Linked DNA regions of Lepisosteus oculatus. The protein of the gene in region 2 purifies or fractionates together with the protein of the main gene of each other region. This does not show direct contact. Links are inferred from orthologs where the notes say so. Each region holds a gene or a part of one and is shown on either strand. Other genes may lie near its edges. The genes, in order: pard6ga, llgl2 and rad18.

Region 1 (8,423 bases), on a different chromosome or scaffold from region 2:
CCAAATGTCCATTAAATAACTGATCCATTTTCAAATGAAATTCCCATTTTAATTTGTGGCAATCTTAGATCCCACTTTGCATTCTTAGCAGACGTTACAGGCCTCTCCACCTCACTAGCTGCAGTGATAACATCATGATGCTGGGTGACTTCAATATACTGTACACAAGGGAGGCTTGCAAGTCAAGAGCTCTCTGTCTCTTCTTGACTGCTTAGCATTTACTAAACACCTATATGACCCCACCCTTTAATTAGTTAATACTAGTGGTGTGAAAATTCAAAACTTTATATTTGTTAATAAGCTCCAACTCTTTATATTCAATCACACATTCCCTTTGTAGAGCGATTTTGAACCTTGACGGATAAACTCTTCAGTTGTAACTAGATTTAATGGTATTGCAAGTACAAATCTCAGTGGTTCAGGGATTGTAGAAGAAGAGTAAAGTATTAGTCATTCGTATTAATAAAATCATTAATAATAAAGTAATGTCTAATGTTTAATGCCTACATACCATTCAAAGGAGGCTGTTTTTGAATGTGAGATGACATCAGGAAAGGATGTTAGGTAAGAGAAATGAAACATTTTATTTCAGGTACAAAAATACAGTAGTTAATGAGTATTCAAGCTCTAATAACAAAGTACCATCTTCCATAATTAAACAGCAGTACTGTATTGAGTATTGCCCTCGGTGTCTGTCACTGAGAGTTGTCTCCACGCAGGAAAGTAGAGGAGGAGAGAGCTGTGGAAGCGCATTACTGTGAGAAGATGGACGAGCTGCTGCAAAAGTCTGATTTTGTCATGCTAGTGGTAAACCTGTCACCACAGACACACAAATTGATAGGGGCCAGGGAGCTGAGCCTGATGAAGCCCACCAGCACACTCATCAACATCAGCAGAGGTAGGTGCTTGAATGAAAAACACAAAAAGACAGAACCCTTCAAAAATGCACATTTTCAGGTTTTGGTAGTGTTATCAGGAATTGAAAAGAAACATTAAATAGCACATTCAGATTTCATTTTTTAAGCATAACATAGCACAGTCTTGACTGTGGATATTTTACAAACTTCTGGAAGGAAGTCAGTACTGTGGGAAACAATAACAATAAGCTGCATTATGAAAAATGTATTACAGTATTTGTTTGTGGTTGGTATTTCTAAACAATTCTTTGACCGACAAAGACAACTTCCCATGCAAAGCTACCAGCACCACATAACTGAGCAAAATAATTAAAATGAGTTTTGCTCCAAAAAGTCAGTGGCAGATATTTCCGTGGCAAAATAAGGACAATAATTAGCCAAATGGCAGCTTATTTACCCCATGTCAAATGGGACTACTTCTGTGACAAAGAGAAGCAGATGTTTTGTGCTTTAGTGTAATTGGGTATCTTCCTAGGGTCTGAGTTGGACCTGAGCAACAGATGGACAGGTGAATGTATCATAGGAGCTTGTATTGTAAACCTGTCTTCATTCACACTTCACAGCAACAGGAGCTGTTACAGGAAGGCTGAGTCTCATTAATTGGTCATTCCAAAGTGGTTGGGTATATAATCATTGACTACTCAAATAAACATTCATTAAAATTGAGATTTATTAAAAGTAATTCAAATTAAACTGACTTCAACAGGTGTAATCATACCCCTCTGTGGATGCCACAGGCAGTTTGTTAGTCCTCGTGCTGATGTGAAGAAATAATTCAGTAATCATCTAATAATAAGAGGGAAACAGAAGCTGTCAGGGGACAATAGTTTTATTACTCCTTTTCATGTGCTCTCGCATACGGCCTAGTTTCCATATGTAAAAATTAGTGTTTTAACTGGCATGTTTTCCAGTTGGCTGGTTTAAGTTATGTATTGTTAAAGACAAACATGTTCTCCTTCTTGGCCGAAGGCTTGGTGGTGGACCAGGATGCCCTGGTAGATGCGCTTCAGAAAGGAGTGATTGGAGCTGCAGCTCTGGATGTCACTTACCCTGAACCTCTGCCAAGGTCAGTCTGTGCAAATCACCCCCTGTCATTGCTCTGTCATTGTAGCCCACAGTTCTTTTCTGTTCCCTGCTTAACCAGGGGCTGTGGCGGCACTGGAGGTTAAGTCTGCAGCTTCACAGTTCTTGTGTCCAGAGTTCAGTTTCAGTGTGGCCTGCCTTCTGTGTGGTTTGTGCATGTTGTTTTTGGATTTGTCAGAGTTTTTTCTGAGTGCTCCTTCCTGAGTGATGACCCTGGTATTTCAACTGTGATCAATATATATGTTGCCTTGGTCAGGGTGACTGATTTACTTGCGCAGCTCAGCTTCCTCAGCCAGTGTTGTCTTCTCTGTATAGCAAGAATTTGATGGTGACAGGCAGTTTATTGATTCGTAATCGTAAGCGGAGTTTAAGTGTTCTTATCTGGAAAGCCAAATCGGGGAAGAGGACCACCTTAAAGGGGCAACTAGTGACACAGAATGAACACTTCAAAAGTTAGTGGCAATATCACAGCCTGTGGAGCGATACCTAGTGACATCAACATATTGTGCTGCGGTTCTTTGCCTCTATAGAGATCACCCCTTGCTCGGGCTTGAGAATGTCATTGTGCTGCCGCACATGGGAACCCATACTTTTGAGACAACCCAGAAGATGGTGGAGAGAATGGTCACTAATGCCCTGGCTGTCCTCAGCGGAAACTCAGCCCCTGATGAGATGCAGTCATAATGCCAGGGGTGGGAAGGGTTCTGCGTTGGATCTGGAGTTTCAGGAACCCAACACTCAAGAACTGGACCTGCCTAGCACAGCACTGGAAATAACCTGACACTGTGTTCTTCTTGTACTGTAACTATGCAAGTTCTCTGGGAGTTGGAGAACAGGCCTGTCTACAATCACATGTATCTCATCAGTTATAGATGTGTTATAGACATGTTATAGATGTGTAATGGACACAACTGTTCACCTGAGCACAACTGTGGGTGGCTCCCTTGTTATTGGTAGTTAAAGCTGATTTCAGGATGGTTTCAACAGTTGTGAAAATCTCAAAGGATAAAATGACTCTATGACATTGCCTGAAAGCACAGTGAAATCCTAATAATAGTATGTTTTTTTTTCTGTTTCTCTCTCATACAGGTTTTATGCTTATGGTTTTAAATAATAATCCTAGTGTAAAAAGGTTAACATAAATTTAAAGATAAACTACAAATTGGAATGACTAATATCTGTGTGTTTAAAAAATTAAGATTCATTCATATTTTACATGAAATGTATAGTATGTATGTGCAAAGTCACAGCGTCTCTATTCAGGAGTTGACGCTCTTGAGTAAAGTAATAACAGTGTGGTGCAAGCACTTGTTGGGTGCATTAAGATTTCAGTTTTCCTCTTTGTCGAATTCCTGGGAAATTATGCAGGAACAAATGTTGTCCACTAGAGGGGAGTCTGAGCCACTTGTACACAATTGTAGACCGTCTGATTCCGTACATTCGCTTTTACTTTTCTAATGATTTTCTATGCTATTCATACTCTTCGCAATACATTTTGTCTTTTACTTTGGTTTATCTGTATGTCTAACGTGCACCTGAAGATTATATACTTTATTTCCACAAAATACCTCAGATTAAATTCTATGTCAATAATTTATTATTATAACATATTATAACATCACCAAAAATGTTAGGATATTTTCTTAAATGTACATTGTAAATCAACATAAATAAAAATGTTAAAACTTTTGTCTTGCATGTTTTTCTGCGATGACATGTCAAAGTGTTTCATATTGTGAATTATTATTGCAACTCTACTGCAGACATTCTAGGTCCTGACCGGTTAAGTGAATAAAAAACTCAGAATGAAAACCTGCTTTAAGGAACAGAGTATCACTGTCCTATGTTCCTCTTGTTTTTCATGTTAAACAAGGATGAAAAAAAGAACTATGAACTGTCAGAGTAAACTTTATAACTCATTCATATACACACGTCCCTGTACGTTCCACACCATTTTTTTTGTAAATAGTTAAATCAGTAGAAATCGTATTTGCCACTTGCAATAACTGAAAAAAAAAATTGATGAAGGTTGATTTATTTTGGATTTTGGAAGTGAATAGTAGTGTTACAGGGTGAATGATCCCAATACATGTCTGTGATCCTATGAAAAGTGGCTGTTTGTCCACATCAATCATTTGAGAAACAATGTTTTCATTAATAATGAATAGGAGAGCTTTCAGTGACATTACCACAGTTAAGTATCATTAGGTGTTACTGCCTCAGGGTCACTGCATGGAACAGGTGAAGCTGTCACACTGTGAGTGGCAGGGAGGAGGTGTCCAGAGACAAAGAGACAGCTGTCAGACTTGTCTCTGTGCTGACAGGGAGCAGTAACCATGGAGACAGCTATGGCCTCTGTTGGCCAAGCCTCCTGAGACCCCACACAGACTGACCTGGCTCTGTTTTGAGTGGTGCAGCATTAAAAACATAAAATATGCTGCAAAATACCTCAATAACAAAACAAAAGAGTGCCTGAATGAAGATTTATAGATTTATAGTAGTAGGAAGAGAAGGCTTTGAGCAGTCTGTCCCATGATACACTTTAACTTCATTCCCAAAACATCACATTTGTTATTGGCAGCTCCCTCTAAAAATAAATGAATTAAGGATATATCATATTACCAAAGTGGGTCCACAGAGTGTCATGCTATAAAATGAGGTGACTTTGAACATATTTTAAGTGCTTTCCTTAAATTGTGAAATAGTTTACTCAGGTATCATGGTGGCAAGACAGTTAGCACTGTTGTCTTACAACTCGAGGGTTCAATTCTGGACTCCTTCTGTGTGGATTTGACATGTTCCTCTGATGCTATCCTTTCTTTTCTCCTTCTAAAAACTTTCTGCTTGGGTTGTTCCTGCACACTTATCTATGTGTTTTCCCTGCACTAATCTAGCCTCCCGTCCAGAGTGAATAAGCAGCTTTCTGACACTGCAGATTCATCCGCAACTGTTTTCAGCAAACATAACATAAATAACTTTTATTCTAGGAGTAACTTACACGCCCGTCCCCCCTTCATAACATCACAAAAGTCCTACCCCCTACCGGTCCTAATTCCTAACGTCGTCAAAGTGTGATCATTGCATTGCGTTACTGTGTACTTTTCTCAAACTTTCAGCTTTACGGCAAAGCTAGTACAACAGGCCTATTTTACAAATCTCAATGCGTCCGCCGATCGCTTTAGATGCTATTTTGAATACATCCCTCTGTGTACAAGACACAAACTATATTTTGGTTAAAAAAAAGTAACTTCTTCCAAAACTTCCGCTGAGGGCGCGCACAGTCCTGAAACAACCGCGTCCTCTGCTGCGGCGGAGGATACACAGCCCTCCGCCACAAGAGCAGACAGATTTGGGGAGTGTTTGTATCCTTGCTGGGGCGCGGTGATGTCATCGCAAACTTCACTCACTCCCCCATTCAGAGGCAGTGAGTTCTACTGCTCTTCATTTCGGCTTTCCTGAAACACAGGCGAGCTAGCAACCGAGTGCTACGGATCCTCGGGATACAGTCAACGGAGAAACTTTCAACTTTCTTTTCTTCCGCTCACCACACAGGACAGAGGAATTCACTGACAGATCTGCAAGCCCTGGTTTCCGAGGGCGAGTGGGAACTTCTGAAAGTAACCAAAACAATGAACAGGAGTTTTAATAAATCCCAGTCCTTACGATACTTGGACTGCACGGCTGTTGAAGTAAAAAGCAAGGTAAGGATTTGTTTTATCGTGGCGGGGGTACCTCTATTTAGTTAAACTCCTTATTTACTCGTCTCTTAATTTGTGGATGCTGCAAACGATTGAGATCTTTAATTGCAAATGAGTTCGCTCGCGCTTACTAAAGTGCAATTTGGAATTGCGCATTCCTGTGTTTTCGAAACCAATTACCAGTTGGTAAATGTTTGCAATCCATCTCGGTTAAATGCTCTCCCTCCCTTTTTAGAAATCTTTGCGGTTTTTGCTGAGCTCTTACTGCGCTTTAGTGATGTGGAGTGCGAAAAACGCACGCTAGGCAGAATCCGTGTTTAAACAGCCAAGCTGGGACCTGGATGAATTTGCACGCACAAGCGAAGGATTTCGCCTGGTAGCGAACGAGATGGCAGATCCATGGACACTGAGCTCCCACGATTTTCAGGAAAAACTGGAAATGAAAAGGCTACAAGGAAAGGGCCGAATAAAACACGTATCACCCCCACCCCCAAAGAAACCCCGCTACGCCTTTCTATTCAGAAACGAAGATAACTGCCGTGACTTGTTGCCGGAGGAGCAAATCCAGCGTGCTCTGTGACTCAGACTGGGGGTTTAATTCGATAAATGTTTTTTTACGATTTGGCTGCTTGAACTTGCTTATGCCCAGTGACTCATCTCTCGGAGCGGTCTTTGTCAACCACCTGTATTCATTCTTTGGCCGTATTGTCCAACTTCTCAGGCGGATTCCAAGAAACTAGGCTATCTTGTCTGGCTGTAATTAGGCGTCCTGTTGCTAAGCTATGGTGTTAAGATATGTATTGCTTCTCGACATAATGCTTAATATTGCTAACACACTATCCCAGAACTGGGTAGATCAATTTCCTAATTGTGATGTTCTTTGGAAAGTTGCCTTTAACTTTCGAACCCCCCCCAAAAAAAAGAACTAGCGTTTTGCTGTTCTCGTGGGTCACACGAGCCGCCATTAATAATTATATCTATACCTTCATACCTGCGTCGAAACCACGTTGAGTTGGAAATGCGCTGCAATCCACTGTTTGTTTCAGAGCTTTGTCGCTTTAACAGCTCTTGAAGGGATTATTATTCACACAGTACATGCGTTCGGAAGCTTAAATTTTTAGTTTATTTAAGCCATAATTAAAGGAAAAGTATCATGTTGTCTTATCAGGTATGTAGCTGATGTTGTAAACATGCCGTGACAAAGCTCTGCACATAGCTCTATAAGGGCTAGGAGTGTTAAAATTAATTGTGATCATTTAGGCGCAGTGTTTGGATGAACATGCTTTTTCTTGTTGCCCAGCTATTCTAAAGGTAGAATTAAGCAACGTGACTTTTTTCCCAGTGAATAATATTTTGACACAATTCCTTGCGTTTAGCTTTACACTTCTCATTCCACAATTCTTTTGTGGGGAAGACGACCCACTTCATCAGAAGTACGGGCCCCATATTATGATTGACATGTCTCTGCCGTTCAGCACCAGCACCCCCCCGACACAGCAGGTCCAGTGTCGATGTGAGGAATTGCTTATTCCATTGAATTACAGAGGACTGTAAGGAAAGCCTGATTGTTGAAGCCTGGAGTGAAATTTAGCCAGGATGCTAGTCAACACCCCTATTCTTCCAGTAAGCGCCATGGGCTCTTTATGTAGCACGTTTAATGTCTTATTTCTGCAGCACAGTTTCCTTACTGGGGCATTAATCTTGTAAGTCTTGGTGTGGGATGTAATTATTACAGTCTGCACGTGAAGCAGAGGTTGCAGTAGTACTTAGTGACGTCTTTGTCTAAGCAGCAGTAGTTATTTAAGGAGCAAGAGTGTTGGTAGATTTGTATCTCCAGAGCCATAAATACCATTTGATTAGCATAAAGGCATATTGCTAAAGAAATATCTAGAAGGTGAGGTTTATAGCATGGGAATGTAGATTTTGCCACAGTGCATTGAAACCTAGGTAGGTTTCAGAAGATGAAGAGCAACAGTCTTATCAGTCACTTTATTGTCTTGAATTGATCATTCTGAATAGCATCAGTTCAGATACTCTTCAAGCAGGAGACTGGAACTAATAGCTGGCTGGCTTCTCTTGCCCCTGTGTACTGTAGCGCCCACAGTTGTCCCACACTCTGCAGAAAGTGCTTCACACCTGCCTTTGCCCCATGTTGTGACCGCAGGGTTGAATTCATGACTACCTGCACCCTGAGCTAAAGTGTATCCCCTTGGTTGACTGATCTTTTGAGCTTTGGACAGCATCATGAATATGGTTGTTGTCACTCCACATTTGTTGGCAATTTGAATTAAAGGAAACAAAAAGCCCTTGGCAAAGATCATAAGAAACAATATGTAAGCCATTGTAAAGCTCTCCAGACGTTTTTTTTAACAACACAGATTAAATGAAAATAATTAAATTCCTAACTAGCGTCATTTAAGGGAGCTGTGATTTCTAAAAAGCTATTTTGCACATTTTTGAGATTCATATGCCATTTTTAAAAGATAACTTTGTTTATATGTCTGTGTGCTTTTGCCTTTCTTCATTCACTTCCAGTCCGTAAACCCCCAGGGCTTTTTGTCCAGCTGAGCCAGCCCAGCTCCACTGCTTTTGCACTGAAAGTCCAGCATGAAACAACTGCAAACAGGCTCAGGACTTGGTTTTTGCTGCAGGGAATATAGAGCTTTGTGGGTTGAATGGACCTTTCTAATTTGTATGTTCTTATTATATCTAAAAATCTGGCTCC
Region 2 (7,452 bases):
AGCACTTAACTACCACTGGCTGGAACATCAGTATTCAAAAAACACAGAACCACTTACAAAAATGTAAATGTTAGGAAAAGCGAAAATAACCTTTTACCTCATCCACTTTGGATAGTGTTAATACTAAGGTTTTGCCGTAATATGTATACTTGTACAGATATTTTTACATAATCTGAATGAAATAAAAGCACTAAAAATGGTTGTCCAAGAGACACAGTAGGCTCTGTGCAGAAGAAATGTGGGTGTCATTGGTTGCACTTTAAGCCGCAAACCCCCTACACCAGCAGCAATCAGAGCTGCATCATGCTCAGCCCCAGCAGGTAAACCCTCCTCACGACAGTGTGGGCTTGGGGCAGTGACCAGGCACGCCCCCACCAAGGGCATCAAGGTCTTATAGTGCTTAGAGACTTAGAGACACTGTCCAGCTGCAGAACTTGCCAGGACATAACGCGTATCCCAGGGGCATTCCTAAAGGCACATCTGAACTCACTTATAAGTTTTCTTTCTTCTGACCTACTGAATGCAATCTTGCATGAGCTGTAACCCTCAAACAGTGCCTCTACCAAAATGCCCTTTTATATAGTTAACTAGGCATATTACAGCATATGCAACAAGTAAGAGTAAACCTGCTGTTTCTTGCCGCAGTTACACTACCATCACAGTAACCAGGAACTAGGCTTTAGCAAAACACTCACTCATGTTTTTATACCCCTAATTCTATTATGTGGAAGATACCATTACAACTGACTTAAGAAAGGTCTGTGAACCCTCTGCTAAATTGCTGAAAGGTCTGTATTGCATGAAAGCATTAAACTCCACAACAGATCCTAGGTCTGCAGTGCACTGTTATGGTTGCAGGTATGAAGTGTGATTTATTTCTATAGAAATCATCAATCATAGTTATATATAATAAATGATAGTAGTTCAGGTGGGTAGCTGCGTCAGCATGCGTAGGCTGCAAAGGAACAAATAATAGGTTTATTCCATGCTGAAAAAAAGAAGAAAGAGAACAACGTTTCGTCCGTGGAGCCTTCTTCAGGTGTCAGAAGACCTGAAGGTCTATAATAAATGATGCCTGCCTCCTATGCACTGCTTTCTGAGCCACTGCAGGTTTTCTGATTTTCAGGCTGTTGTATAATACAAAGCATCATGGGGTGCAGAGAAGTCCCGATGCAAGAGACAATGGCAAGTGTAGGCCGGATCAAAATATAAAGCTTGTGCAGTGTATGTACTCTTTGCTTCGCCATCCACTTCCAGAGGCACTGAGAACCCCACAGGGGACAAACTGCTGAACAGCAGGTGTCCAAGGCAAAAATAGGCATTCTAGGGTGGAAAAAGACAACTGACTCAGCACTCCGGTCACCTGACACTCCACAGCCGCCATCTCCTTCAGAGACAACGCTGTTTGACCGCACCCAGGTTAAATGACAAAAGAAGCGGGATGCCCCTCTGTTTGGGCTGGTAACCAGGGTGGGCACCCCCACCTCAGCAAGCAGGAAATGCAGGATTCGCTACGAACGGGCGATACCCATTGAAAACAAGCCACAGCGGCCAAAGACAAAAAACCAAAGCAGCAGGTTGTTTTGGCCCAGTGTCTCTCACGGTTACGCACAATCTGTATTTTAAATTAAAAAAACATTTTGCACAGGTTTCTAAAAAGGGGACGTAACCTGTCACGCATTAAAGAGCTACTTTTAGTCCAGCAATGCACACTAACAGCCCATGATCCAGCTGGTTAATGCGAATCTGATTTTTTTAATCTATAACTTTTTCCCCCAACGTTAAATAATACAAAGAAGCAAACCCATCCAAGGAGACACAGGAACAAAAAAAACACACAAAACAATGGGCTGCCAGAGGTAATTACACATTTGAACATCAAGTTAACATGTTTTACATACATCAATTGTGTTTTTGCCTTGTTAGTTTTCAAGTTTCAATGGGGCTTAAGTAGCAATATTGCTTTTCCACCTATTAAGCATTAAAGGAAGGAAGAACATTAGACCATTTTGTTTGATATCTGTGATGTGATATCTGCCCAGTATTACTAAAATATAAAGGAAAATATTCCTTTTCCATACATCTTGCAAACTATAACAGAATATGAAGTTCGATAAATCTAACATTCATATGTAAATGTTTGAAGATAAAGTTTTGCAAATCTATCCAAAACTATATATATATACCGGTAAGGAAATGCTTGGGTGGCGTGGTTATTGAACAAACGGATGAGGTCATGCTGTTACTGCCTACCTCCAGCATGTTACCTGCAGTTAGGGGCGGGTGCCGTTTCGCTATGACGTCTCTCCCCCCCCACCTCTCAATTACAGCTGGTGGACATCCGGGGATGTCGAAGCAGGGGGTCGTCATAACCCACCACCCACCGATACATGTATGATAGTAACGAGAAAAACTCACTCATCTCCTGCTCCCTCCGCGTTCGTTTCCCTATTCTAAGTTGAGCACCTGCATGGTCGGCATGCCTCGCCTGATTTCTGCTGGTCATCCCAGTTTCTCCTTTTCTTAGGGTTGAATTATTTGAAACTCACATTAATACCAAAAATAACACTTTCCCCTCTGGGTAAACACTACCTGTAGTTAAGACTCCTAACATTCGTCCATCTTTACAACCCGTCAGAATGGAATTCGATATGCTTGTGATTTTTTACCAACCCATGCAACTTTTTGGGTAGACGTTTCTCGCTTACATACATTATTATATACTCCTTGTCTTTCAGGTCAACAACTGGGGTAGACTCCTCACAAAAGTAACGATGCCTACCACTCATGTGCCTAAATTATTTTAATTCCTTTTAATACTCTCTTCGGAAGAGAACGTTTTCAAAGAAATCTATCCCTACTGAGAAAATGAGTGTTTGCAGGTGGATTAGGGCGGTTCTTCGTACAATTCCCCACTCCTTCTGTTAACGGTAACCAGATACTTCTTACGGAGTACCCCGCTACCTGTATGCAGACAACCCTGAGTTTTCGCTTCTTGCTGGATGCCCGCCATATATCCAAGAACAACTTTCGACCCACTGCATCCCGACCCACAAGTTTCACCTGTGGAGGAGGAAACACTGCTGCCGTGGCCCAGCAAAAACTCACCTGGACCTCGACTGCGTTTCCCCGGGGCCAAACCAGTTACTTTCGCTCCTAAAACCTGCGGGTCCTTGCTGAGGCCTTCTCCAGGTTTCTAAAATCCAAAGCCGCGTCCCTGTGCCCAGTCCCACTTCCTCCTCCCAAGTATTCCCTGGTGTTTACCCCCTTCGTTACTTTCCCAAACTGCAGCCTCGATATTTCCTGCTGCCCTCTCCCGGGTTCAGCTGTCTGTTCTCGGTGACTCACCTCGCTCCGCCCCTCCCCAAGAGCCTCTTTCCGGGGTTTTTTTCCTCCTTATGGGAGGGGACATCACTTATTCATGAAGTTTCGGGGACTCCCTACAATTTCTAGGCAGCGATCCACAATTTGAAGTGAAAACCTCCCTCCAATACCGAAAATTGTATTGCACAGTGGCGGTATCGTAGCCTATGAGGTTTAGCCGAGTCGCGATTATTGCTAGTTGAAAACTTTTATTCCGTTGAACGCTCAGATCCCCCCGAAAGAATAGAAAAAAAATCTCATTTGCCTGCTGGTTTTGAACTCCCACATTAAGGTACCGGATTCAAAATGTAAAGTTATTCAAAATTGTACTACGTTTCGACGTGTTTTGCTTTTCTCGTTTTTTCGTAAGGGACAACAAGGGACAGAAGGCTGATACGTATTTTACAAGATTGCAGTTGTAAGTAAAACAAATGTAAAGTCTTTCAAAAACAGTAAAAGTGATTTTTAATTGGCGTTGCCCATTGTCGGTGTTTCAGCAGCATGCTTACATAAGGTGTCGTGGTTTAAGATCGTATTCGACTGTTGAGGAAACTCTTTTGTTTACTTTAACCACTATTCTCAGAAAAGATGAATCAGCGATCACCTTGATCTCGTTTGACCCTTGTTGGGAGATTATGTATATCCATCTTGCTACGTACTATAATACAACGAGCTGCACACTGCTTCAGCTCCAATCTGTCTCCTCAGAACCCCTTAACATAGGTTTAGTTTAATAAAAGTTTTAAATATTGCTAGTTTAACACCTCATCAATTATTACATTTGCTTTTCATTTATAACCACAAAAAACTAGGACGTGAAATCAGCCATCTTTCTGAGAAGGAATATATGTTAGGATAATACACTGACCTACAGTACGTCAACATCAAAGTCAATATATTGTCACTACAAAAGCAGTAGTAAAATGTAAGAACAAATACAAAATAAGACAGATGACTACTGTTATTACACGTGGGAGTTGTGTCATGCAGTCTTTTGAATATTTTGAATTTAGCTAAGGATTAACACTCAAGCTTTACACTCAAGTTAAAGCTTTTAAAACAAATGATTAAATCAATGATAACTCGGAAAACAATTGTGGCTGGCTCAGAAACAAGGATTAGTCTGCGAACTAAAGAGATTGTTGTTCAGCAATCCAGACTTGTGGTGACGGCAGTACAGAAAGTATTTGCATATAAAACAGCAATTTTAGTTTTTCAAAGTCACTCCACCACCTTTCATGTTTGTTCTCTGGTCTAGTTCACGAAGTGTGTGTGCAGCACTGGCTGGGAAGGGAATTAATTATTCCCAAATCTCAAGTGATCCTTTACATGACACCGAACAAGGGTGGGACAAATTCAACACATCACTGTCACATTGTGCTCACAGGAAGCAATGCAAAATAGTATTAATGGAATGCAAATGTCAAACGGACAAAGTGTACATGCCAAAGCATCTACCCTGACAGTAAACAACATGTTAGAGATGGCAATCTAAGATTATTTATGAACCGCACCACCATACCACGTAGGACTAGGGGCATGAGGCCTGTCAATGTAGCAGAACAGTATTCTCTCCTGATGTCTTGAATGGTTCGTCAGTGGGAGAGTGTCCCTAAAGATGGACACATCAGACCTCATCAAGACACCTTTGACCTTTTAGAGGGGTCTTAATGAAAAGAAGGATGTTTCAAGCCTGTTAGCTTTATATTAGTACTGTACATCTATGGACCACCTGTATTTTAATCATATTTAATACATTGTTTGCCACTGCACTGGGAGTTTGTATCTGTGCTAATAAAAAGAGATCTATTGTCCGTTTTCATGTTCACAATTACTAGAGAAAAATAATATTGTGCCACAGGTAATGGCATTTCAGTGAAGGCAAAAAAGAAATGGTTCCATAATAAAACAAATGCTGATTTATTGCTTTGGCAGCCACAGCAGGGCAGGTTGCATTCACAGGCTCAGGACTCGTGCTCCCTCTGATGGGGTGGTAATGTAGAAGGTCGGTGTTCCAGTGTATCGCTCCTGTAGAAACAAACACAAGGCAAACTCAGTTCCTCTCTTCACCTGTTTGCAGACAGTTACATGTAAAGACACAGTACATAGTCCCTCCTTCAGTTTTCTATCATTTTATATTTATATTCAGAAAAAACTCCATTTATACTCTTACAGTTACTACAAATCCTGGGTGTTATATGAGAGAAAATGCTGTTTGAAGTCCCAATTGTCTACCCTCACAGCAAATACAGCTATTTCTAAACACTACCACTAGTTTTCCTGGAGGACCAACATGCACAGAGTGTTAACACACAAACCTGTACAAAAAAACTCTAATCAAAATTAGATCATTGCTACGGTTTATCCATCCATTCATCTTCTAGCCACTTTATCCAATTCAGGGCTGCCAGGGAGCCAGAGCAATGGGCACAAGGCAGGATACATCCCAGACAGGATGCCAGTCTATCACAGGGCACACACAGACACAAAGTAGCACACACTCACACTAAGGCCAATTGTACCAGCAGCCAATTAACCTACCAGTTTGTCTCTGGACAGTGGGAGGAAACTGGATCACCTAGGGAAAACCCATGCCAACACGGAGAATATACAAACTCCACACAGATAGCACCCCAGGACTGGAACTGATCCCAAACCCAGAACTCCAGCATTGCAAGGCAGCAATGCTAACCACTGCCCTACTACTACACTGCCCTCTTATTTGTTATGTGTACTTAATAAAAGACACTACCTATTTCAGTAAGGGAGAAGAATACTCTCGAGGACCAGACAGGTTGTTTGTGAGTAAAATCTGCTCCTCTGTGAGTTCAGTTCCTATTCTGGTTCCTATCTGTGCTGGATCATGTGCCAGACAGCAGGGTGGGTACCTTTAGGTGCTGTATGACTCTGTCCACAGCCGAAGCCTCCAGCAGGGTGACGGTGCACCCCCCGAACCCCCCGCCCGTCATCCTGCTGCCGTACACCCCCTCCACCTCCATCGCCGCAGAAACCAGCTGGTCCAGCTCGGGGCAGCTGACCTCATACTGGTCCCTGGTGAGAACCGCAAAACACCGCGCAATCACTTCAGCTGTTTCTCCATTCGGGCTCAGTGTGAATCAGACTGTAACCCTTCCTCATCCTGGCTCCCCCCTGTTTTGACCTGTGCCACCCAGCTCACCTGAGAGAATTGTGACTCTCTACCATCAGCCTCCCAAACTCGCGGTACTCCCCCTTCCTCAGCGCTGCCGCCGCCTGGGCGGTGCGCTCGATCTCCTCGATCACGTGGCGTGCCCGCCGGTACGTCTCCCCGTCCAGTCGTCCCTTGGCACCTGCGGGGTGCACCATCCAGGTCAGAGTTCACGGAGCAACCATAGAGCGGAAGGAGCCCATTCTATTGCCAAATCGGTCAAGGGTCACTGATTCCAGCTCTCCTGGCACTCAAACATCCCTATAACAGTGTGCATTTGTCATTGTGAAGAAATCTCACCGGAGTTTATATGGTACCTTTGGAGTCCAAAAAATAATTATTTCCACATTGTGGAAATCAAAATGTTAATCAAAATAATTTTAACTTCTTAAATTTTGTCTTTGTGTTCTATGTTGTACCGCTAGCTGCTTAAATTGCCCTCCCAGGATGAATCAAGTATAGTATTTTGAACTAAATTGAATTTATGGCCAAAAAACGTCTTGCTTATCATCATTACTGTCCAAGTTCTTTTTTTTTTCAAAAGTAAAATAACTCTAATCCAGGACAATGTGATGCCTTATGTTGTCAATTTTAATGGGACCTCATTGTCTTTCACGGTACTATTGGATGAATAATCACAATAATCTGTATTAGTCACAGTTACTGCATTTTCTTTAGTTGATTGGGAATTTCTCATATTTAACATATTATTTTTTTGTATTTAGCCAGTAATATGGTGTCTGCAACCCTGATCCACGAGAATCACTGGCTCTTCTGTTGCGGATTTCCATCTACATTTCAGCTGAATTAATTGGCTTTTAATTAAGTGGCTTCTTGCCTTCATAATGGAGTCACCTTGCTTTGTATTCTTTTCTATAAATCCTTCTATTTTGCTCCAGTTT
Region 3 (7,525 bases), on a different chromosome or scaffold from region 2:
GGACTGCATATAAACCTGAGGCACCCTTGACATATTCAAGTTCAACTCTATTATCAAATTAAAGGAGACCATTTTAGTTAGTTCTATATCTCCTATTCACTGCAAGTAATGCTCACACCTGAAAAACATTACAAGGGTGTTTATGTTGAGTATGCTCAGCAGACATACAGAATAGGTTCCTAATGACACAGTATGTATCACAGATACACTATTGGGTTCAGGTCAGATGAATAGGTTGGTTGGTACCTCCTAAGCATAATTTGCTGTGACAGGAAAGTCTGACAAATGTGTGCAATATGTGATAATGAATTCTCACACATAAATGTGTAGGGCATAATTTTGACCAAAGTAAGGTGCAATGCATGTGCCAACAACATTGCCACTATTGTTTTGCACAGTCAAAGAGCCATAAAACAGCACTATCTGTGTCTAAACTGAGTGCTTAAGAAGGAGACCCGTGAGAAATACTTTCTGTTGTAATTATATATATATAATAATAATAATAATTGCTTACACTTATATAGCGCTTTTCTGGACACTCCACTCAAAGCGCTTATATATGAATTACACTGAATTGCAGTCCATACCATCACATCTCCAGCTTCAGATACACCCACGTTTGAAACAATGCGGATGGTACTTCTTTGCTTTATGCCCTATGCCCACTGTTGTGCTACATCAGAAAGGCCCATGACCCTCCACTTAATACAACGTTGTTCCAATTTTACTATGCACATTGCACCGTACCCTGTCAGAAATGTCTATGTCTACATTGTCTATAGCATTTTCTTGCCAGTGTCTGTATTTGCACCGAAGACCCAGAGAACAATATCCAGATCCTCTGTATACTTGTATATGGCTGGACTGACAAATTAACTTGAACTTGAATTTGCCTTGGGCCAGTTTCAGTTGCCCAAGCATGACATGTTGCCCTATGATGGTTATTCAACAGCAACCCTATGTGTACAATGGGTTCTTATGCCTTCATTCTCAAGACACTATCTTTCTGTCTGGGAGCTGGTCTGGATATGTAGACATCCAGGTGACTGGGCAGTAGGTTAGGATGCAGGACTATTTATTTCATCCTCCGAGATATCTCAATGGGATATACCTCAAACAGGTGTGGTGACTCATGGCCACTTGGTTACCGTCAGTAACAAGTTAAACTCGTGTGAAGCACACCAGTGTCTATTTCCCCTAAATGCTGACATACTTGCCCTCGGCATCCCAATGGCCTCTTCTTTTCTACCCTACCATGGCTGTGGAAGCCATGGGATTTTGTTTCAGCCATGTTTGTGCACACAGTTGCAGACGCAGTAACATCTGAACATCATAGTGATCACATCTACATTTGCATACATGCCTACGATACAAATGACTGAAATGGGTTTTGCACATTTGGTTAACTAATAGTGCAGAATTATTCTCTTTCTGATAAACTGAACCCCTTACTTTTGGAAAAATATTGGCAACAAGACCGTGTTGCCTTTTTAATGCCTCCCAGTATATAAAACTCAAGTCATGTTTTTTGTTTTCTCTCTCTAGCTTAAATGCTTGAACTGACAAAATATTTGAAACCATAAGAAGATAGTCTTAACCTTCCAAAATCAGTGGGGATTATAAAATAATCAGTTTGGTTCTGCTTTGTCAAATGCCATTGATGTTGATCAGATACTGAAATAACATACAAGCATAATAGTATTTAAAGCACTCAGATACAGCACCTTTACACCCAAAGAAAGCACCACAGACAAAACATTGTTTCTTTTCTTCTCTTTTCAGCGTGAAATCAACATTTACTTGTTCCCATACAGTATTTCCCCCTGACCAAAAACAGTGCAAGAAATAGAACTATTTAAATCTAATTAGAAATGTCAGCTTCTGGTTGTATAGAAACTGCTTACAGATATGAAATTTCATTCTTCCTTCAACATCCACATCAGATATTTCTTACCAAAATACTGTATGTAGGCCTGTTCATTGGTGACAACCACATGATTTCAGAAAACATTTAGGTATAGGTTTTCTAATCCACGCAAAATGCCATTGTTACATAAATATGCTATGGAACAATGGTAATTTGCACGTATAAGGAAAGTTTTAAAACAAGAATACTTTACTTACCGAATTACATACTGGACACTTCAGTTTGTAGGACAGAAATTTCCGTATACATAAAGAGCAAACTGAAAGCAACAAACATATTTTTAATATGAATCCACACTACAGCACAGTATAACAACACCATTGCAGGAGGCAGCTTCTATACTTAAAATGTTCAAGCACATTTTTTTTATAGAATTACATGATTTGAGCTCTCTGATATAATTAAAAAGGAACATTTAAAATCTATCGAAATTATTTAAGCACTTAGTAAAAAACGTGACCAAATAAACATTTTGGTTTAAAGTTTTGCTTGGAAACAAAAATAATGTACTTATGTTTTACAAATCTCAAACTGAAATGTGTACTCACAGTTATGGGAACAGTGCTGAACCATCATTGAAATGTCCAGATAATCAAAGCAGATTGGACATCTAAACAAAGAATCTAGATTCTAAAAACAAAGAGAGTCCATAACTTGAGTTGGCTATTCTACAAGCAACTACTGTACTCTGTAATTTCATCTACACTACAGTAAACTACTATTTATTTTCCATTCTTAAGAACGACGCACACAACAGTGTAAATATTTTACAAAGTGAAACATCACAGCTCCTTGAATGAAATAAAAGGTGCGATGGCAAAAAGACTGCTGTGTAAATACGAGCACATAAACTGTAGTATTTGGTTACAAATGATAGGCCAATCCAAAATGCTTGAAAAAGGAAAAATCCGCAGTTTGAAAATAATCGCAACTTTTATTACCTAAAAAAATATTACCTAAGTTCAAAGGATCTGTTCTCACGGTGCACACTTAACAGTAAGTTTCGGTTGTCTCATGACCTACTACTTCTTGACATCACATGGTATCAATTTTGTGGATATATAGCATAAACGTATATTAAGGCACTTTGCTTACACTAAGGAGCATTAATCATACAGTGCCTAAATAAGAGTTGCACTGACGTTTCCTTCACTTACTTTGAGATGACACAAATTAGGGGGGATTTCCGCTTCAGTAAAGCTTTGTGACATTTTATAAACACTTGATAAAATACTCCTTCTTTAACTTCAAATTTTAAGAAAAAGAACCTGACTGCAAATACACTTATTATTTAACACTCCCGCGCCAGTGCCGGAAGTTGAGTAAAAGCTTCCGCAGTGAAAATCGTCACTTCCTGCAGTGAAGAGTGAACTGGATGTTGTAGGCTTGATAGAATCTGCAATGATCACAGTACATTACTAATTTTTACGTATGTTTACGGCTGTAAACCTTAGTGTACGAAGTTCCACTGTCTTTATCCAATCTTACTTCTTCTATTCCTATGTTAGTAGCACAAATGAGCGCAGAGAAAATAATTACTGTTTCCATTGAGCTTCTACACATAGGACATTTGCAGTGCAAGCACTCAAGAGTGCCGCGCGTCCATGACAAAATCGCCTCCACCGGAAAATAAGCGAAAAATAAGGAACTGCCCCAAAACGAAAATCACTGGTGAGGCGGGCCTTTCACCCCCACTTCGGTCAGGTGCATTATTAGATCTCAAAAGAACTTTAAAAACTGTGATACCTCGAAGCGCCTGCAGGTTCCTATTTACTGATTTACAGGGCATTCTCTTATCAACAGGAGGGTTATTTTGGTAATAATGGGCTAGTTCTTTATTTAGCAATGTCAAGTGAATACAAATTATTTTTTTTATAATGGAACAAGTAATAGGTTTATTCCATGCTGAAAAAAAGAAGAAAGAGAACACAACCTGAACTATTTTTTATAATGATGACCTGGGGAGCCATTTATTCAGCAGGTTACTGACTGGAGTAATTTGAGTGAATTACCTTGCTTAAGGGTACAATGGCAGTGTCTTACCTGGGATATGAACTCACAGCTATCTGGACTGGATTCCAGAGTCCTAATTACTTCTCCATGCTGCACATTCAAATTGCCTAAAAGAAGATCTTGTGTAATGGAGAGGTATTTTTTATCACCAATTCAGAAATAATTATAATAATAAAAAACATTTTTATTTTATATAGCGCCTTTAAAGGTGGCTTCTCAAAGCGCTTTACAGAATGACAACAACAATAAATAAAACAAATACACAAGATAAAACACAATTACAATACACAGAGGAGACCATGGATGGTGGTTCTAAGTATAGTAGGAGCAGAGGGGTAAAGAATGGAACCAGTTAAGTAAAGGCTCTTATGAGTCTGGATTTGAAGGAGTTAAGAGGAGGTGACTCCGATATCCTTGGGAAGAGAGTTCCAGAGCTTGGGGGCATAGCAGGAGATGGCCCTGTCACTCATAGAATGTTGAAGGGCTTGGGGAACAGTTAGGAGACCAGAATTAGAAGAGGTTGCGAGGTGGGAAGTAGGGCGATAATAGTTCAGACAGGTACTGAAGTGTCAAACCATGCAGAACCTTATAGGTGAGCATGAGGATTTTAAAGTCCACATGGAATTTGACAAAAAGCCAGTGCAAGGACTCCAGGATAGGAGTATTGTGATCACTTGCACTAGACCTGGTCAGGATCCTGGCTGCCAAATTTTGGACTTACTGCAGTTTGTTCAATGTAGATTTAGATACCTCAGCGAGCAGAGCATTACAGTAGTCAGTTCAGGAGAACACAAATGTGTTGATCAGCTTTTCAGCCACAGTTAGTGGCTGAAAAATAACTGTTTTAATCTATGACAACTAATGAATATTTTGCGTATTTCCCATCTACCTGAAGTTTGGGTGAATTCATTGCAGACTATACTCAGACACCCTTGAACAATGACATACAGTATTAAGCAATGAATTGTATTGTGGAGTTAAATGATTTGGAATTCTAATCAGGTAGTCCAGTATAAGAAGCCATTAATCACGTGTCTTGGATCAGAGATACAGTCATTTTCAAGTACACACTCACATAGGGTCCATAATAACAAAAATTCAATTTCCAATAATAAAGCACCATCTATTTTTGAAAGCTGACCTGACTGTTTATTCTGTTTTGCATCATTACTGTACCCTCTCTTGGGGTGAGTGTCAAGTTAGGAATACAGTATGCTTCTCAGTATTAACCTAAAGGAGAGTGTTTTCTTACTAAAAACAATCTTTCTGATCTTCATCTGTACATAATTATCTGAACTCATTCAGTCATATGCATACTAACCTCTGGGGGATGAAAAATACTTTTCATTTTGTGGATCAAACTAAACCAAGTATTCAAGTATCTTCACCATGTTCCTGCATCATCATCATCACCACCACCAACATCTAGCACCCAGCTGGATCACGCAATGTCAGCCAAAATGCACCAGTAGACATCAGATGTCAGTGGGGAGGAGAACATAGTAGTGAAGCCAATTCATAGATGGGGATTATTAGGAGGGCATTATTGGTAAAGGCCAAGGTAACATTTGGCCAGGACACTGGGATAACACCCCAACTCTTTTTTTGAGAAATGCCCTGGGATTTTTAGTGGCCACAGACATTTGCTTTACATCTCATCCAATACTATTTTACAGTATATTGTATAGCTGCAGTATATATGAATTAGATACAGTATATCCAATATTATATAATAGCTTTGTTTGCCATGATGGTCACAAAATGATAGTATATAAAAAAGTAGTTTAAAATTATTTGTTTTGAAAGAATATACATTGTCCATACAATTTCCCTACGACACTTCCTGAGCTTTTGCAGAAAACTGAATTAAAGTCAAAACCCATTTTGTGGATGTTTTAAAGTAAACAAAGTTATGGATGGGGGGTCTATATTTAAGATACTGATCCACAAAGCAGGCAGTTTTATTGGTAATGTGGGGAAGAACATTGAGCTGTATTATTATTTTGAGAATAACCTCTTTAAGAACATAATGGCTAAAAATAAATCTGAGCTTTCTGATCGTATCCTTTGCCTTGACACAGAGGATTAACATTCCCATTTCCATCTGATCTAGACCAGTTACAGTAGACTAGACTGAAAACTGTCTCTCAGAAAAAAAAAAATCAATAAACTGAAGTGGTGAGGGAAGCAGAAACAAGGTCAACAAGTCGGGCTTTTGTTAATTCAACAGAAGAACAGCTCCAAGCATTGCATTTATTAAATACTGACACCCATACTACCTTTACACATCTAGATTCTCATAACTCTACAATTGGATTTTCAGTTTTCATTTTGAAAGTTAACCTGTGCCCAGTTCACAAGACTGTTCACAACATTTCACAACACGGACTTTTAAATGCCGTCTTTATCACTTGTTAAGAAGTTAAAATGTGGTTTTGTAGAATGAATGCAGTAATCTAGTTTCTTAAAATCAAAATGTGTCTTTCTCTTGTCTCATCCTATTGAGGCTGCTGTGAATAAAGCCATTTCTAAATCTAATATTTCCGTTGCCCATCTGTGTTCTATAAACTATGTGTCATGTATCCAGTACATGGATATAAATCAAGAGACCGTCATTACATTTGTTATATAATTCAAAAGCCTAGTGGCATTAAAAAGACAGTAAATAAATTAAGAGTGTTATAATTCATGACTCAGAACTGAAGCACCATATAGTGGTTTTCTATTCTATACTTTCTATATTACAATTTAATAACATTCAACTCATTAATCAATTTTAAAGGTGTTTATTGCAATCTGACTTCTTTAAATACCCAGTTTCTGAAATACATTTATGTTCAGTCCAGTGTTTGGTGTCATTATATTTAATAGTGTCAAAACACGTGAAATGACCTTTTCCTTTCAGTTTCCAATTTAACTTAGATGCCTACAGTGTACAAGATGCTGTTCTCTTTTACTGAACATTACAGCTGAGCAGGTTGCTAATGATAACTATATCTCTTACAGGCAGTGAGTGCCACGTGCTCGGAAAACACATGTTCCTTAGAGTGATGTGGACTTTTCTATTAATCTTTAAGATTAACACTACGCTTTCTTCTGAACTTTTGTCTCAAAAATGTACCTTTAAAATACATTAATTGGAAGTTGCTAGGCAAACATAAGTAGAATTAAAATATGTTTTTTTTTTCTTTGCATCTCTGAGCTGCTGACCTCCAGCATCCCACTGATATGATGGTTTTCTAGGGTCTTTCATTTTTAACAACTCAAATGTTCTTTCTCTATGACATACTGCCACTGAAAATAGAGCATTTATTACTTCTTAAGCTCCATGTGCTGACATGTACTGTGCAGCACAGAAGCTCATAAAGAATGGTGAAGTGCTACAAGAACTGCCTTTGCATGGCTTGGATATAGTTCTCACATAAAACTAGAAAATTTGACAAGAACCCATTATCCATCAGTAGTTCCCTGGCAACCTCTGACTTTCAGTTATTTAATTATATATAGATTTTTACTTTCAGGGAGTCTGTTTGGAACTGCAGTTTATTGGTAGTCATGGAACAGATTTGAATAATATCCCTTAGG

The links.
Region 1: the proteins of llgl2 (region 2) and pard6ga purify together in Homo sapiens (affinity purification with mass spectrometry; 4 studies listed by BioGRID and IntAct, counting the BioPlex papers as one, with this or other methods). This does not show direct contact. The link is inferred for Lepisosteus oculatus from reciprocal best matches to the Homo sapiens genes LLGL2 and PARD6G.
Region 3: the proteins of llgl2 (region 2) and rad18 purify together in Homo sapiens (affinity purification with mass spectrometry; 3 studies listed by BioGRID and IntAct, counting the BioPlex papers as one, with this or other methods). This does not show direct contact. The link is inferred for Lepisosteus oculatus from reciprocal best matches to the Homo sapiens genes LLGL2 and RAD18.

The regions. Positions count from the first base shown.
Region 1 is NC_090705.1:16,173,692-16,182,114, reverse strand, and holds the start of pard6ga (partitioning defective 6 homolog gamma), read left to right. Parts: upstream 1-5,049; 5' UTR 5,050-5,384; coding exon 5,385-5,424; intron 5,425-5,552; coding exon 5,553-5,701; intron 5,702-8,423. Other genes in the region: probable 2-ketogluconate reductase, read left to right, coding at 720-898, 1,887-1,983, 2,531-2,684. UniProt on the Homo sapiens protein: Adapter protein involved in asymmetrical cell division and cell polarization processes. May play a role in the formation of epithelial tight junctions. The PARD6-PARD3 complex links GTP-bound Rho small GTPases to atypical protein kinase C proteins.
Region 2 is NC_090704.1:36,050,853-36,058,304, forward strand, and holds the start of llgl2 (LLGL scribble cell polarity complex component 2), read right to left. Parts: upstream 3,350-7,452; 5' UTR 3,109-3,349; intron 1-3,108. Other genes in the region: galk1 (galactokinase), read right to left, coding at 5,320-5,391, 6,252-6,414, 6,542-6,692. UniProt on the Homo sapiens protein: Part of a complex with GPSM2/LGN, PRKCI/aPKC and PARD6B/Par-6, which may ensure the correct organization and orientation of bipolar spindles for normal cell division.
Region 3 is NC_090699.1:53,229,273-53,236,797, reverse strand, and holds the start of rad18 (E3 ubiquitin-protein ligase RAD18), read right to left. Parts: upstream 3,485-7,525; 5' UTR 3,139-3,484; coding exon 3,085-3,138; intron 2,558-3,084; coding exon 2,476-2,557; intron 2,187-2,475; coding exon 2,125-2,186; intron 1-2,124. UniProt on the Homo sapiens protein: E3 ubiquitin-protein ligase involved in postreplication repair of UV-damaged DNA. Postreplication repair functions in gap-filling of a daughter strand on replication of damaged DNA.